Cricetulus griseus: one gene and its partners. The main gene of each other region encodes a partner of the protein of the gene in region 3 in a complex. Links are inferred from orthologs where the notes say so. Each region holds a gene or a part of one and is shown on either strand. Other genes may lie near its edges. The genes, in order: Osgep, Tprkb, Lage3 and EKC/KEOPS complex subunit GON7-like.

What was found.
Region 1: the proteins of Lage3 (region 3) and Osgep are in contact, whole or in part, in a crystal structure (PDB 6GWJ), measured with the Homo sapiens proteins. The link is inferred for Cricetulus griseus from reciprocal best matches to the Homo sapiens genes LAGE3 and OSGEP. Residues at the interface, in NP_006005.2 of Homo sapiens: Glu76, Ile77, Gly80, Ser81, Leu82, Pro84, Asp85, Asp125, Gln126, Leu129, Val130, Arg132, Thr133, Met134, Arg136, Phe137, Gly138, Pro139, Pro140, Val141, Arg143; in NP_060277.1 of Homo sapiens: Arg50, Ile53, Leu54, Asp55, Leu57, Gln58, Leu61, Gln69, Ala84, Val87, Ser88, Val91, Val92, Arg94, Thr95, Val96, Gln98, Leu99, Trp100, Asn101, Leu315, Ser318, Gly319, Val320.
Region 2: Lage3 (region 3) and Tprkb share a complex: the UniProt entries of both Homo sapiens proteins name them as parts of the EKC/KEOPS complex. The link is inferred for Cricetulus griseus from reciprocal best matches to the Homo sapiens genes LAGE3 and TPRKB.
Region 4: the proteins of Lage3 (region 3) and EKC/KEOPS complex subunit GON7-like are in contact, whole or in part, in a crystal structure (PDB 6GWJ), measured with the Homo sapiens proteins. The link is inferred for Cricetulus griseus from reciprocal best matches to the Homo sapiens genes LAGE3 and GON7. Residues at the interface, in NP_006005.2 of Homo sapiens: Pro60, His61, Ile62, Phe63, Thr64, Leu65, Ser66, Val67, Pro68, Phe69, Pro70, Glu74, Arg102, Ile103, Glu111, Cys113, Leu116, Arg117, Val120, Ile121, Leu124, Asp125, Leu127, Ser128, Val131, Arg132, Met134, Gln135; in NP_115879.2 of Homo sapiens: Met1, Glu2, Leu3, Leu4, Gly5, Glu6, Tyr7, Val8, Gly9, Gln10, Leu17, Asp28, Pro29, Phe30, Gln31, Leu33, Leu34, Val37, Met40, Lys41, Val44, Thr45, Leu47, Phe48, Asp49.

Annotation. Positions count from the first base shown.
Region 1 is NW_023276807.1:206,591,751-206,595,168, forward strand, and holds the end of Osgep (probable tRNA N6-adenosine threonylcarbamoyltransferase), read right to left. Parts: intron 3,249-3,418; coding exon 3,183-3,248; intron 3,083-3,182; coding exon 2,992-3,082; intron 2,778-2,991; coding exon 2,702-2,777; intron 2,608-2,701; coding exon 2,509-2,607; intron 2,252-2,508; coding exon of another isoform or gene 2,212-2,251; exon of another isoform or gene 2,034-2,211; intron 1,406-2,033; coding exon 1,252-1,405; 3' UTR 959-1,251; downstream 1-958. UniProt on the Homo sapiens protein: Component of the EKC/KEOPS complex that is required for the formation of a threonylcarbamoyl group on adenosine at position 37 (t(6)A37) in tRNAs that read codons beginning with adenine.
Region 2 is NC_048601.1:74,424,531-74,427,705, reverse strand, and holds the end of Tprkb (EKC/KEOPS complex subunit TPRKB), read right to left. Parts: intron 2,836-3,175; coding exon 2,713-2,835; intron 1,376-2,712; coding exon 1,199-1,375; intron 763-1,198; coding exon 688-762; 3' UTR 673-687; downstream 1-672. UniProt on the Homo sapiens protein: Component of the EKC/KEOPS complex that is required for the formation of a threonylcarbamoyl group on adenosine at position 37 (t(6)A37) in tRNAs that read codons beginning with adenine.
Region 3 is NC_048604.1:1,362,468-1,366,244, reverse strand, and holds Lage3 (EKC/KEOPS complex subunit LAGE3), read right to left. Parts: upstream 2,228-3,777; 5' UTR 2,194-2,227; coding exon 1,958-2,193; intron 1,651-1,957; coding exon 1,522-1,650; intron 1,195-1,521; coding exon 1,080-1,194; 3' UTR 866-1,079; downstream 1-865. UniProt on the Homo sapiens protein: Component of the EKC/KEOPS complex that is required for the formation of a threonylcarbamoyl group on adenosine at position 37 (t(6)A37) in tRNAs that read codons beginning with adenine.
Region 4 is NC_048598.1:103,312,414-103,316,932, forward strand, and holds the start of EKC/KEOPS complex subunit GON7-like, read left to right. Parts: upstream 1-1,533; 5' UTR 1,534-1,595; coding exon 1,596-1,803; intron 1,804-4,519. Other genes in the region: putative E3 ubiquitin-protein ligase UBR7, read right to left, coding at 1,181-1,330. UniProt on the Homo sapiens protein: Component of the EKC/KEOPS complex that is required for the formation of a threonylcarbamoyl group on adenosine at position 37 (t(6)A37) in tRNAs that read codons beginning with adenine.

The DNA of each region.
Region 1 (3,418 bases), on a different chromosome or scaffold from region 3:
CTGTTTGAGAACCTCTGGTTTGTGGTGGCAGGACAGAAATGCTAGAAGGTATTCAGCATGATGGTGGGAGCTTGGTAAATGTGTTCTCCTTGCTTCTACTTTAAAGAACCAAGGTGTGGTTAGAGTGAGAATGACCCCCACAAGATCACATACTTGAATGCTTGATCCCCCGTTGGTGGGACTGTTTGGGGAAGATTGGGAGATGTGTCACTAGGGGTGGGCTCTGAAGTTACAAAAGTCCACACTATTCCCAGTTAGCTCTCTCTCTGCCTCTAAGTTGTAGATCAGGATGTAAGCTCTTAGCTAGTGGTGACTGCCGTGACAGCCACGGACTTTATTACCTTTGGGAACAGAGAACACCAATTAAATGCTTTCTTTTGGTCACAGTGTACTGTCTCTTGACAGCAATAGCGTAACTTAACTTAGCAAAATAGTTCAAAATGTTGAAATATATACAATATATAAAAAATAGTTGAGAGGCAACTAAGAGACAAAGGTGACGTGTACAGGGAGAGATATGTTGGGGATCTGAGGATCAGGAGATCCGGAAGTTATCAAGGACAGCGAGTGGGAGGGTTAAGAAGATAATGAGGGAGATGCAGGAAGGACTGACTGCCTTCAGTTGCATTGTTATCAGGGGGCTGCAGCAGCCAGCACGGCTCTCTCACTTGCACTTTTGGCTGCACAGACGTAGGTATAAAGCAGGTGATGTGTGTAGAAGTAGAATGGCGGCTAGGGATGCAGCTCCATCCAGAGGTTCAGTCCCTAATACTGTATAAATTGGGTGTGGTAAGGTACACCTGTAACCCAACGCTTGGGAGGCAGACATAGATGAGGTCATCCTATGCTAGTTTGTTCAAGGCCAGCCTGAGCTTGATGAGATCCTGTTTTTTTTTTTTTGTTGTTGTTGTTTGTTTGTTTTGTTTTTAAAATAAAAATGGCAAAGGCAGACAAAGCATCTGCAGCAAGGTGTTTATTATTGGAATTTAACTGAGGATAGCAAACAATGTAGAAAGGAAGTAAGATCAAAGGGTTTCAGGTCCTGGAAAAGGGATGGATTCCACATAATAACCTGAAGAGCCAGATTGTGGCAGAAGAACGGGATGAGACTGAGTTATGGAACAGTGCGTTGCAAGAGGTGGGGCGTGGCGGTGCACACCTTTCTCCCAGCACTCAGAAGGCAGGGGCAGGTGGATCTCCGTGAGATTGGGGCCAGTCTAGTCTACACATCAAACTCCAAACCAGGCAGGGCTACATAGAGAGGCCCTGTCTCAAAGAGACAGAGGAGGGAAAGAAAGAAGAGATGCTGCACCACCTCCATGCCCAGCGGTACATGGATGTGAAAGACTCACCACCAGGCGTTAAGAGAAGCAGTCTTTCCGAAAAACTAGGTCTCAGCGCAACGCTGTGAAGACAACATTTGAAAAAGAGGGTGAGGATATATGGATTTTACAAATGGCTGATAAGTTTCAGGAGTTTGGAAGTGGGACAAAAAAAAAAAAAAAAAAAAAAAGATGGCAAAGCACCTGGCTGCCAGAGGCTAAAGAGGAGCTTGGTAGTTCAGGACCTCTTGTGGCACTATATATGGCATGATATCTACAGTTCTGATGCTTGTATTGGTGCTGAGGTGTTGTACATCTCGGGTGCCTCCCAGATACTGGCCAGTGAAGTGTTTGAAGGAGTACATTAAATGAAGTTTAGGAAGGACAGGAGTTTTAGTAAAGTTATGAATTGGATCTATTTCCAGGTCTTTTTAAGGGATATCCTGAATACCCCTTCAATGAATGTGAACACAGTTTGTTAAGTGTAGAGGCCTCGGCACAGGACATGACACTAAAACACTATTAGTTAGGAGACTATTGTTAAAGGGATAGAAGGACAGCACCCACGACTTTCTCCAAGTGGCAATCGTCAAAACTATCTGCACCATCAACCAAGTGCTACTCTGACCCTCACCAGCTTGTCCACTGACCTCACCAGTAAGAATTTACCCAGCACTCACTCTGTTATTGGTCCTAAAAAACACAATCCAGTTGTCAACGTACAAAAACAATCTCTTTATTTCAGAGTCATCTTGGGGTTCCACAGGAACCCTAAGCCTTGTGTGGGGTCCATACACTAGCCAGAGAGGAGAAGAGTCCATAGTATCACCAAGATTCACTCCCACATCAGCACTCCACTTGGCAAGCTATTCTGGTCCTGTTAGTGTTGTTAGTCCCTCCACGTCACTTCTACTTCATCTGTCCTGTACCTGTGGAAAGCAGGAAAAACCCTGTGACTACCTGTTTGCGCCATTTTTTGTTGTTTTGTTTTTGAGACAGCATCTGTAGCCCAGGCTTATCTCAAAATAAAAATCCTCCTGCCCTGGCCCCCACATATTGGGATTACAGGTACATGCCACCAAACCCATCACCTACAGCTTTATCTGTTCTTTGACTTTTCTACCTGTTAATTTCTACCTGTCTCCTGTACCTACTATCTACTTTCTCAAAGGAGGATGTCACTCACCTCTGTGTAATTCCAGACTCTCTGAGAGGGGTCCTATGTCCAGCTTGAAACATCTCCCAACCTGCTTGGGCTATCATGGCTCCATTGTCAATGCAGAATCTGGGGAAGAAGCAGTAACAAGACTTGTGGCCTAAACATAGAAAAACCGTAATGATGGGAACAGAAGAACTCAAGACAAAGAGAAGGACTTCACCTCTCATCTGTGGCAAAGAGCTGGGCTCCCCGCTCCTGGCACATTGCTGCCATCATCTCCTGCAGTCTCACGTTACCTATGAAGACACAGGAACCACAGATAACTTAGATTTGGCCATTTTGCTATCAAACCAGTTGTGCTCCCAGGACAGTTTACCAGAAGACTAGGGAAGAGGGTTGTGAAACAGTTAAAGAGATGAAACAGGTAACCCTCCAAACTCTGGTAATGTAGCGTTTCAGGAAAATGACTCTCAGGACTAGGAGGAAGGCACACTGCCCAGTGACACATACATCCAACTCCTCCTACGATGAGGGCTTCCTTGGAGCCACAGTGTGCCATGGCTCGCTCTGTGATCTCCACTAGCATTGCAAACACAGTTTCCTGTGGAAGACAGACAAGGGGGAGACATCAGAGCAGCATCCCACCTTAGTTCAGCTCTACTCTAGACTAAGTTTTGCATCCCAGCTTTTCACTCTTTTACCTGTAAGGAGAAACACAGGTCTTCAGGAGTACATTCCCCTGTGGCCAGCATTTTCTGCGCTACATCCTGCAATTAAAGGGGGGGAGACAACCCAAAGGATGAATACCGACATGAGGCTTTCATGAAAACAAAAATTCCTGCACTTGAAAGGATAGCTGACTTCATTACAACTGACATTATAGGAGTGCTGCACCCCACATCATCTTCTTTTGTTAATTTTTATTTTCAAGCCTTTT
Region 2 (3,175 bases), on a different chromosome or scaffold from region 3:
TGAACTCACAGAGATCCGCCTGTTTCTGCCACCCGAGTGCTTGGACTGCAGGTGTGAGCCACCGACGCCCATCTACATGCTTGCACTTTTTTATTCCAATTGTACAATAATAAACTTTATTCCAATACAAACAGAAGACTAGAAGACAATGACAAAAACAGCGACAGTGTTCTGTCTTTAAGAAGTGAAAACAAAATAGGGCTAGTAGTGGTTTCTTTTTCCCATTTTCAGTGATATGTTAATTTTATAACCAGGAAAAAAACAGCTGGTGATTAACTCAGATTTTTCTGTTGATGTTTTGGGCATCTTATAAAACATCCTTTGTTGACATCCTACAAATGATACCATCCAATAATGTCCCGATACTCTCTTCTTGTGATGACAGTTTATATATCTGTAAAAGTGAATGACAATCTATGAGTGCTGGCAAGTCCATACACGGTTATTACATATACATTACCACGTGGCATTACCATTTTATTATGGCATTAATGGTTTCATTCACAATGTTTAAAGTGTTCAAAGCAGGTGGTTATTTGCCACACATGTCAAATATCCTTTTTAAGTGTAAGTATTAATATAAAAAAACAAATTTCTTGAACACACAAATCCCATTTGTATCAGTTTTGAGTACACATGTAGATATCAACTCACACAGTCACTGAATGTTGAAAGAGATCCCTTTTCTTACAGTTCTGTGACTCTATTCCAAATTACATTCCACAAACTTGTAGGTCCCAGTTCTTTTCTTTTATGAAGTATCTGCAAAATTATTTTAATATTTCTAAACCTCTCTTGATTTTACTTGTAAGGGTGTTTGGCCTCTATATATGTGTACTATGTGTGTGCAGTTCCAACGAAGGCCAGGAGCAGGCATCGGATTCCCTGGAACTGGAATTACAGATGGTTATGAACGGACTTGGAATCAGACCCAGGTCCTCTGGAATAACTGCTGACTCTTAACTGCTATGTCAACTCTCCAGGCCCATACTATTACTTAAAAGTTCAAAGGATATTGGGAATATGAGAGGAGGCAGATATGAGTAAAAGCAGTAATAGGATTTGTGAAAAGGTAATGAAACCATTATCTTGTATGCTAACTAAAGTTAATGGAATAGTTCAAAATTTTTAACAGTGATGAACAAAAAGCATCAGTATAATTCAACTACTGAACTCTTAAAAAACGTGTATTACAAACCTTTTTGACTTCTGAGAGCTTTGTTATTTCTGGAAGACATTCCAAAGGAACCTGTTGGCCTTCCACTTGAGATACTAGGTGTTCTTGGTTTATTTGTTTCTCTCCCTCTTCAGTGTAAACAATGAGAACTGAAGTGGCACTTTCCGAGATACCAAATTTCTTCAAAGCCTCTGAAATCTATGATTAAAAAAAAAAAAAAAGGCAAATGAGTCAGTGTCTTCTGTCTGGAATACTTCTGACCTGCTCGTCAGCCTCCCTGTTTCTCAGAGCATACTTTCCCCTTCTACAATCCCTTTCCAGCAACTGCTATCACACTTGTCTCTTCTGTCCCTAGAACTTCGTCTTGATCAGGAATGGTGTCTTCAATTATTTCCAATGGTTCTATTAATGGGGGATTCTGTTGCCATGCTGACTGCATTTTATAAACTTTGCAACCAAGTGTGATTTAATTCTTGCCATATGGTTCCAAATCTTCCCTTTGATATTAGTACCTGGCTGTTACTAATAGCAGCAGTAATACTGGGACCTCATCAGCTGAGGTCAGGCATCTTTTTCCATGTCACACACAGAATGTCATCACCTCAACAACTCCCATTTAATAAGCACTCCTGGGATGGGGAGATGGCTCAGTGGGTAAAGCAGTTGTCAAGCCAGTGTGAGGATCTTGGTTCAAATCCCTAGCCCATGAAAAGTCAGGTACAACAGCAATGGTCTATAACCCCAGTGCTGGTACAGCAAGATAGGAGGTGGAGACAGAAGAATCCAAGAAGCTTGAAGCCCAGGTGTACCCAGTGGTGAAAAACAAAGAGACTTTGTCTGGAAAAGGTAGAAGGCAAGGACCATCTGAGGTTGTCCTTTAGACCTTCACAATCATGTTGTAATACTCAGGCCCCCACACTCCCACACATGAATCTGTGTACCACAACCACATATACACACACATACAACACACACATACACACACACACACACACACACACACACACACACACACACACACACATTCAAGCACACACCCAAACCTGGGAGGTGGGGGGGGGGGTTTGCATTCCTATGAAGGTTTCAAACCATGAATTTTTCTATGCCCTGGGTGTGTGAGTGAGCAGGCATCAACTGCTCTACCAGGTCACAGAAAGTTCCAGGTACTGACTATAAAAAAAAGACACACAGCCCATCTCTAGGAGTTTACAGGGAGACTGACACAAAATGTATCTATACCTCATGTTTTATAGTGTGGGTTTCTTCCAGTTTCTTAAGCAAAATTGCTCAGGGGTCTACTTAACATAATATGGGCATTGCAGATAATACCATCCTCAAGTATTTTAACCTTTGACCAGGAAACTGACTCCACAGCTACTTGCAGTACTAAATGGCTGTCTAGACCTCTCTATGAAACTATTTTGGCTTAGTACTAACAGCTGGCTTGGAGGAACCCGGCCCCCACTGCTACACAGGGGGGAGGGCACATTCTACAATGACAAGACCAACAGAAATAAAGTCAGTCACCACATTACATTGTTATTTGGGGAGAGGTTGAAGATAATTTCAGTAGACAGAGTCCTTGTCTTCATTTTTCCCAGTTTGTGGAGATGAACAGCTTTGTTTGCTGCCACAAGTATCTGAAATGGATCGATGATCTACCAGAGAGAAAACAGAGATTAGCACATGGAGAATCAGGAGCTTCCTGAACCAGGTGCCCTCCTGATGTAACTCTAGTCCAGCTGTTTATCTGTTCTCCATTCATTCCTATGGGCGGTATTTTAAACTATGGCCTCAACGGCTGCTGCAACATCAAACATTATAGGAACTTAAACTGTAAGATTCTTGCAGGATGTGCCGGGCGTTGATGGCACACACCTTTAATCCCAGCACTCGGGAGGCAGAGGCAGGCAGATCTCTGTGACTTTGAGGCCAGCCTGGTCTCGAGAATTCTTGCAGGATAATACAGAACAGGCCACATCCTAAACTACAACAGTG
Region 3 (3,777 bases):
CCTGCCTGTATGTCTGTGTACCGCATAAATGAAGTGACCACAGAGGCCAGAAGAGGGCATTAGATGACTTGGGCCTGGGCATAAAAACAGTTTGAGCGCATATGGGTGCTTCGGGTCAAACTGAGGTCTGCCGGAAGAAAAACCAGTGCTCTCAACCACCTAGCCACCTCTACAGTCCCAATAAAAATAAATCTTAAAGCTGGGCTATGGTGGTACACACCTTGCAGAGGCAGGCTGATCTCTATGAGTTTGAGGCCAGCCTGGTCCACAGAGCAAGTCTCAGGACTGCCAGGGTTACATAATGACACAAAAAAGTATTCTTTGACAATTTCATACATGTTTACAATGTATATATTTTGAATATATCCATCCCCTATTGTCCTTTCTTATCCTCTATTCAACCCCTTCTTCTTAACAATTACATCTCCATTTTCATGTCTTTCATTAGTGCCTCACTGAATTTAATTAGGGTTGCTTGCATGATCATGGATGTGGGGTTATTTACAGAATTATGAGCAACTTAACAGTGGTTACACTACTGAAGAAAAACAACTCCATTTCCCCAGCAGCCATAAACTGCCAATATCTCCTCAGAAGAGGGGCCTCATGATATTGCTACACATTTATTATATTGATAAAATTCTAATACCAAAAGTTTCCCAAAGTGAGCCCCAAATGACAGGGTGCTTGTGTTTTTAATTTTCCTCTATTTCTGTAATTGTCTTCTTCTACTTTCTACTAATGTAGTTTTTCACTGCTGAGGATTGAATCAAGGACCTCACAACATTAGGTGAATACTCTTATTTTATACAACAAATACCTCTCCTCCAACACAAAGAAAATCTTGAGGTTGAAAATACTCAAATACAGATTAGAAGCACAGCTTTATTTTCTTCAGCAACATTTGAGCACCAAACTAAACAAGTGGCCCCTAAGTGCCTGAGGACCAAGTCAGGCAAAAAAATATTAGGCCCCACATTTAAGTAGCAGGTACTATTTCTGGAATGTTTTCCAGAAAATTGTCTGCTTTGGAGGGAACCGACATAAGGTCAGATCTGAGCCCCTTTTCCCAGGCAGGCTTAACGAGAAACTGGGGGCCCAAAGCGCTTTATGGTGTTCACCACTAGGGCGAGCTGGTCAAGAAAGTTCATGATGGAAATTCGGAGGAGGCGAGAGTCTTCTGAGATCCAGTGTCTAAGAGTGAGGAAAAAGAATATTAAGTTTAAAATAGTAATTCTTATCCTTCTTTCCTTATTTATTTTGGAAAGAGAGAGAATCTCACGATGTAGCCCTGGCTGGCCTGGAATTCACAGAAATCTGTCTGCCTCTGCCTCCTGGCTCCTACCTTTCTGGATCTTCCCTCAGGCTCCCACTGTACCATATCCTGCAGGTAAAGACTGGTCCACTGCACCAAGAGTCTTCTTAGAAGTCACCCTAGTGTGCTGTCTCTAAGGAAGTGCAGTCTTGGGTAGAGAATAGTCCAGCCACCTACCCAGCATGCCAGACTCTTTCAGCACTTACACCTCCAGCATGCAGCCGCTGACTTTAAGGTCTTTCCCCAAGATTCCTCGGTGCGGTTCGGCATCAGGAGCTAGGGACCCACAGGCGATTTCTGCCTCCAAAGAGGTCGGGAAAGGCACTGTAAGGGCACTGGTAGAGACTCAGGAAAGGCACCATGTTGAATCGTTTTCGCCTACTTGGCCCTCTAAAACCATCTCATCTGGTCTAAGCTCCCCAGACTACATCTTGCACATTGCTTGGGCAATTCCTGTTCATTCCCTCCACCCTCCGGTTCCCCTCCCCCTGTTATCTTCTCATGCCCAGACCTCCCGTGGTTAACAGACCTCAATCAGCCGGTCCCCCTGCTCCCCTCCACCCCACCCCCGTCTCCAGACTACCCCTTTTCCCTCCTGAAGCATCCCTAAAGTGACCCAGTTGTCCCTGTCCGGTAGGATACAATCTATGATGTCGGATTCCCGGCCTTTGGGTTAAAGGAACAGTGCTTTTGCTCCAACCGGAGACTTCCGATGCTCGTGCAGCAGGGTGAGCTCCACTGGGAATAACTGCCACTGCGCCTGCATCACCGGGACAGCAGCAGCTGGTCGGGGAATCGGCGCCATCTGCAGTGTGGCCTAAACTGTGTGCTGCTTGCATGTCTACCGCTGCTCCACCCTCCAAGCCACCCTCCGCCATCGCTACGGCCCAGAGCCCGCCTTATCCTCCGGAAGCTCCGCCCTCGCTCAGGCTGCCAATCCCACATGCACCTGCGGGAATGGGCGGGCGACAAAGTTGCTAAATTGGGTCGGTCCCCATCTGGAGGCCTCTGTTGGGATCTCTAAGAGATTGATCTAGTCTCCCTCAGCCTCCAAAGTGCCATACCACATCCAGCTTTCCCTTCAGTTTCTTTTTAAAAGGGATCTAAGGAGCCGGGCATTGGTGGCAGATGCCTTTAGTCCCAGCACTCGGGATGCAGAGAGAGAGAGAGATATCCAGGCTGTCCTGAAACTCACAGATACAAGCCTGCCAAGTGTGCTGGGATTAAAGGTGTGTGCCACCACCATCTGGTTTAAGATTTATTTATTTTTATTTTATGTGTATAAATGTTTTGCCTGTTTTTACATGTGTGTAGTGCCTGTTGTCCATGTGGGTACTGGAACTGGAATTATGGGTGGTTGTAAACTTTTATGTGAGTTCTGGGAACTTAACCCAGGTCTTTTGCAAAAGCAGCAAGTTCTCTTAATCACTAAACTATCTGTCTAGCCTCTCTCTCTGCATCACACCTTCAAAAGCTCTGAGATTGATCTTCTTCTTGTCTACAGCATATCCCCCACAAAAGTTTCTAATTTCTTTCTTTTTCTTTTTCTTGATTTTTCGAAACATGGCTTCTCTGTGTATTAGCCCTGGCTGTCCTTGAACTAGCTCTGTATAACAAGCTGGCTTTGAACTTCACCTCCTGGCAAATTTAAGATATCTTTTACTTATTCTTTGACAATTTCATACATGTGTACAATGTTCCTTGATCCTACCCATGCCCAACTCACTCTTCTCACTCTGTCTAATTTCTAGTATAGATTAAATCAATGCTTAAAACCCTGTATATTGGGCTGGGCGTTGGTGGTGCACTCCTTCAATCCCAGCACTCGGGAGGCAGAGGCAGGCGGATTTCTGTGAGTTTGAGACCAGCCTGATCTACAAGAGCTAGTTCCAGGACTGCCTTCAAAGCCACAGAGAAACCCTGCCTCTAAAAACAAAAAACAAAAAATAACCAAAAAACCCTCAAAAAACACAGACACACATACAGACCAAACACTCATACACATAAACATTTTTAAAACTCTTAAAATAAAAAAGGTCATGGTGGATTGGATAGAATTTATTTGGTACACCATTTATGTGGCATTTCAAGGTTCTGGTTTCATTCCCATTATCACAATCAACCAACCAACAATCCCTGAAACGTTTTCTAGTGGCACTTGGAATAAAAACCAAAGCTTTGCAGTAGTTTATAAGATCCCTGTATGATGTGGCTCCAGTTCCCCCCTTTTTTTTGCCCCTATGCCACCACATTCTGTGTGGTTACTGGGGCCTTCTCTCTCTCTCTCTCTCTCTCTCTCTCTCTCGCTCTCGCTCTTTTAAAGATTTTATTTATTATGTATATTTATTATGTATATAGTGTTCTGCCTGCATGTATGCCTACAGGCCAGAAGAGGGCACCAGATTTCATTACAGATGGTTGTGAGCCACCATGTGGTTGCTGGGAATTGAACTCGGGACCTC
Region 4 (4,519 bases), on a different chromosome or scaffold from region 3:
CACAAAAAACAAAATTTTCAGCCAGGCATGATAATGTACACTTGCAATCCCAGCAGTACTTGTCAAGTGAAGGAGAATCAGGAATTCAGGGCAAGTATGATTTACATAAGACCCTATCTCCAACAACAAAAATGCTTAGTTAATACATTTTATAAAGATAATGGTGTTAAGAAACAGCTCACACAGAGGCTTGGAGCCTTTCTTTCCTCCTTCCAAGGAAGTGGGGTGTGTCTTAGTGGTGATCCTTTGATTTAAATGCCAGTGACCATCTGCGACTATTTCTGGGATACAAGATTTAATTCCACAACCCAACAATTTTGCAGTGCAAACCCAAGTTGGTTAACGAAGACAAATAGCATTATGACTTTAGTCCACACCACACAGTAACTCCAAGTTCTTTCCCTCCTTCCCCAGTCTTCCACTCCACCCACGGGCATAGCTAGCTTGCTTCCTTCCACCAATTCTCATCCTGTTGGTGCCTTCCTACCCACCCTTCTCCACTTTTGTACTTAGATGTACGGGATGCGTCACTAAACCCTACATCACCGGCCCTCAAACAACTCTTGTTTACAAGGTCGCACAGGCGCCAAGCAGATCCTTTCCTCCTCTCTCGGCTTTCCAGGGTCACATGATGTTTTGGTTCCGATCTACTCCGGAGGGAGAAGGGGTGTCTGTCACACAACACATACACTCGGAACTTTACCGGGAAGGAAAAAAGAAAGAAAGAAACCAGCTAGCAGTTAAACTAGACTGCACGGGCACATTTTTCAAATCCAGCCCACTTCCCTTTAGCTCTGCTCACCCTCCCCCCCCCACCTGGTGCCCAATTAAGCTTCTTTAAGAGTGGAAGGAGTGGGGCGAAGAATATCGGGGTGGTTTGAGAAGTCACGAGGACGAGCTCGTGGAAAGCAGGCCACCAAGAGGCGACAACGAGGAGGGCAGAGCTGCTCCTGCTGCTGCTGCTGCTGCTGCTCGGGGACCGGAGCCTGCAGAGAGCCTCGGGCAGGGCGGAGGGAGAGCCCTGCTGGCGACAAGCTGAGGATCAAAGGGCCGCAGGGCCGGCCGGGGCTGTGGAAGCCCGGGGTGAAGGGCAGCCCTGGAGCCGGGGCGGCCGCCGCCGCCGCCGCCGCCGCCGCGGGCGGGAAGCAGCAGAACGGCGGGTGCAGCGGGCCGCGCGCACCTGCGAGTAGGAGCACTTCTCCGAGTCGCTGGCGCCCAGGACGGCGCACGCCTCGTTCTCCAGCTCCTCGTCCTCCTCAAGCACGTCCACCAGCGACACCACGGGCTCCAGCTCCGCCGGGCAGCCGGCGGGGCTCTCCGCTCCGGCCATCCTCAACTGTCACAGCGCTCCGCGGCGCGGCCCAGGCGGAGGCGGGAAAAGGGACCGCCTGCGGGGGGGGCGTCGCGAGGAGGCGGGGCCTGATCGTCAGGCAGCCAATGGTAAAGGTGGAGATGGAAGAAAATGGGCGGGGCGGGTGCCGGGAGTCGGAAGTCATGCCTTTTACCCGTCTCTCCCGCCCGCGCCGGCCCGCGGGGTGGCTTCCGCTTCCGGGTGGCGGTTCTCTGTGGCGCGCCGTTGAAGCGAAGGGGTCGCCATGGAGCTGACGGGCGAGTACGTCGGGTGTGACGGCGAGCCCCGGCGGCTGCAAGTGTCCTGTGAGGCGTCGGGCGACGCGGACCCTCTCCAGAGCCTGTCGGCGGGTGTGGCCCGGATGAGGGAGCTGGTAGCCGAGTTCTTCGGGCCCCTCGTGGAGCAGCGGGACGCGCAGGGCGTGACGGCAGATCCGGAGGACGCCGAGGAGGGTGAGCGCGGGGCGCCGGGGTCTCCGGCTGTGTGAGGGAAGGGCTGGCAGCCTTGGCACAGCGAGTCTGGCCGGCCGGCCGGCGCGGGCGAGCAGGAAGGCTCGCATCTGAAAACGGTTGGCCCTCTCTGCCCCGCGTTTTCCACGACTCTTCCTTCACCTCAGCCAGAAGAGCGTGGCGAGCGTTTGCCTGGGGGCTGGACAGGGAGCCGGGTCAGCCCGACGCCTCCCGTCTTGCGGGGCGCGGAGGACTGAGACCCGCAGAGTGGAGCCTGGGGGCGTGGGGGGTGGGCTGGGCTGGGGGTCTGCAGTCGCTGCTAGCTGGAAGGAAGACCTAAGGGGCGGCCCGTGGCGCCAGTGGGGGGGAGTCTTCCCCAGGTGTGAAATTAGAAACCTGTTTGGCACAGCGGGCACAGCTTCGGAAGGTCGAGACCGACTGTGTCGTGGGGAGTCTTAACCCTCAGAGGGTCCTTTCTCGAGTCTGTTTTTGAAAGTATAAGGGGGTTTCGGTTTTGCTGTGTGGGTGTGGGTGTGTGTTTTAAAGTCACCGATAGTCTCATGCGTGCATGTAATGCGCTGTGGTCATTTTCTCCTTCTCTTTCGTCCCCTGCTTGAACCATTCCCGATGACACACACACACACACACACACACACACTCACACATACACACACACACACACACACACACACACACACACACACACACACACGCCGCTTTCTTTTCTGCCTTCCTTTTTGTTGTCTCTCACTGAGTTTAAGGTTCTTTGTATGAGAAGGGGTGGATGGTTATTTACTGGAGCAAGGGCAACTCAGCGGTGACTACACCACAGAAGAAAACGTCAGCTCCTCCCCCAGCACCCATTAACTGTCAAAAACTCCTCCGGGCGGGATGGGACCCAATGAGCCCCTGTTGAGGTTGCCGTCTCGTTCAGGTAACCACAGTTGTTGCCCCTGTGTCCGAGCCATGTCATGGTCAAAAGAAAGTTTCACCACAGCCATTCCCTTCCTCTAGCCCCTACTATCATTCACCCCCTCTACTGTTGTAGAAATAAACTGTTAGTTTTTTGGGTTTTGGTTTTTTTTTTAACAAGGTGGATGTTTTGCCTGCCGCTTACTTGTGTCTGTGCACCACTGCTCTATGCAGTGTGCTCCGAGGCCAGAAGAGGGCATCAGAACCCCTGCAGGCAGTGGTCTTAACCACTGATCTCTCCAGCCCCAACTCTGTTAATAGAAGAAAAAAAAAAATTGTAGACAGTGTCACAGGGTACCACTGGTTGGCCTTGGATTAGACCAGGTTGACTTTGAATTCGCAGAGATCTGCCTGCCTCTGCCTCATCAGTGCTGGAATTAAAGACATGCACCACCAAACCTGACCTTTGTTAAATTTTATTTTTAATCTTGAACACAAAAGAGATTTCATTACTCTGAGCTAAGGAGTCAGTTCTTCTACAGAGGAGATTAAACTGTACTGTTCTTTATAATAGGGTTATTGACTGTCATTAAGAAGAACAGTAAGTAAAATCTGGGGATGGTTGTGGTGCACACCTTTAATCCCAGCATTCGGGAGGCAGAGGCAGGCTGTGAGTTAAAGGCTAGCCTGCTCTACTGAACGAGTTCTAGGACAGCTAGGGTTACATAGAGAAATCCTGTCTTGAAATAATAATAATATTATTATTTAATAATAATAATTTAAAATAATAATAATAAAGTATTAGCTAGGTGCATTGGTCAGGGTTCTCTAAAGAAGCAAAACCTATTGATAGAATATCTTTGTTAGAGTGCCCTTACAGCCTGTGGTCTGAATAGTCCAACAGTGGCTTTCTCCTTACAGAAACACCAAGGATCCAGTAATTGTTCAGTCTCTGAGACTGGATGCCTCAGCATTCCTAATCTGGTGCTGGAGTCCCAGCAAAGTAGGTTATAACACCAGCAAAGAGGTGTCTCAGGAATAGATAGATGAACTTGCTAGTCAGAGTAAGGGCAAGCAGGCAAAAACTATAGTACCCCAGTTACACCACTAGTTCTCCAAAGTTAATTGGAAATATGTTTATACCAAAACTCAATAATTGTAGTAGCACTGTTCATTAATAGCTGTGAAATCAAAATAATACAACTGCCCATCACCAGAGTAAAACATGAGCATTCTTTTAATTGTTGAATAGTATTCATTGTGTAGAATAAAGTATTTGGCTGGGGAGATTGCTCAGTGGGTAGAGCTGCACAAGCATGGGATTGTGAGTTTGGCTTCAAGAACCCATGTACTGCCATGTGCCCATAATCCTAGTGCTCCCTGCTCCCTGCTCCCTGCAGTGAGTTAGGGAATAGAGCCAGGAAGCATAGTGTATGCAAAGATACATTACCCCCCCCCTTTTTTTGTTTGTTTGTTTGTTTTTTAGGGGGGATCAAGACAGGGTTTCCCTGAGTAGCATTGGCTGTCCTAGAACTCACTCTGTAGACCAGGCTGGCCTTGAATCAGAGAGCCAGCTGTCTCTGCCTCCCAAGTACTGGGACTGCAGGTGTGCACCGCCACCACCCAGCTGAGATGCTTTCTTAAAGTGGAAGGTAAAGACCTACAATGAGTTTGTGACCTCTGTGTGTGCTATGGTTTGTGCATACACATCACATATACACACAGAGGAGTGAAGTGTGGATCCATGCTACAACAGTAATGAATTCTAAAACAGTAAGTCTGGCACAAATGGCTACACATTCTATGT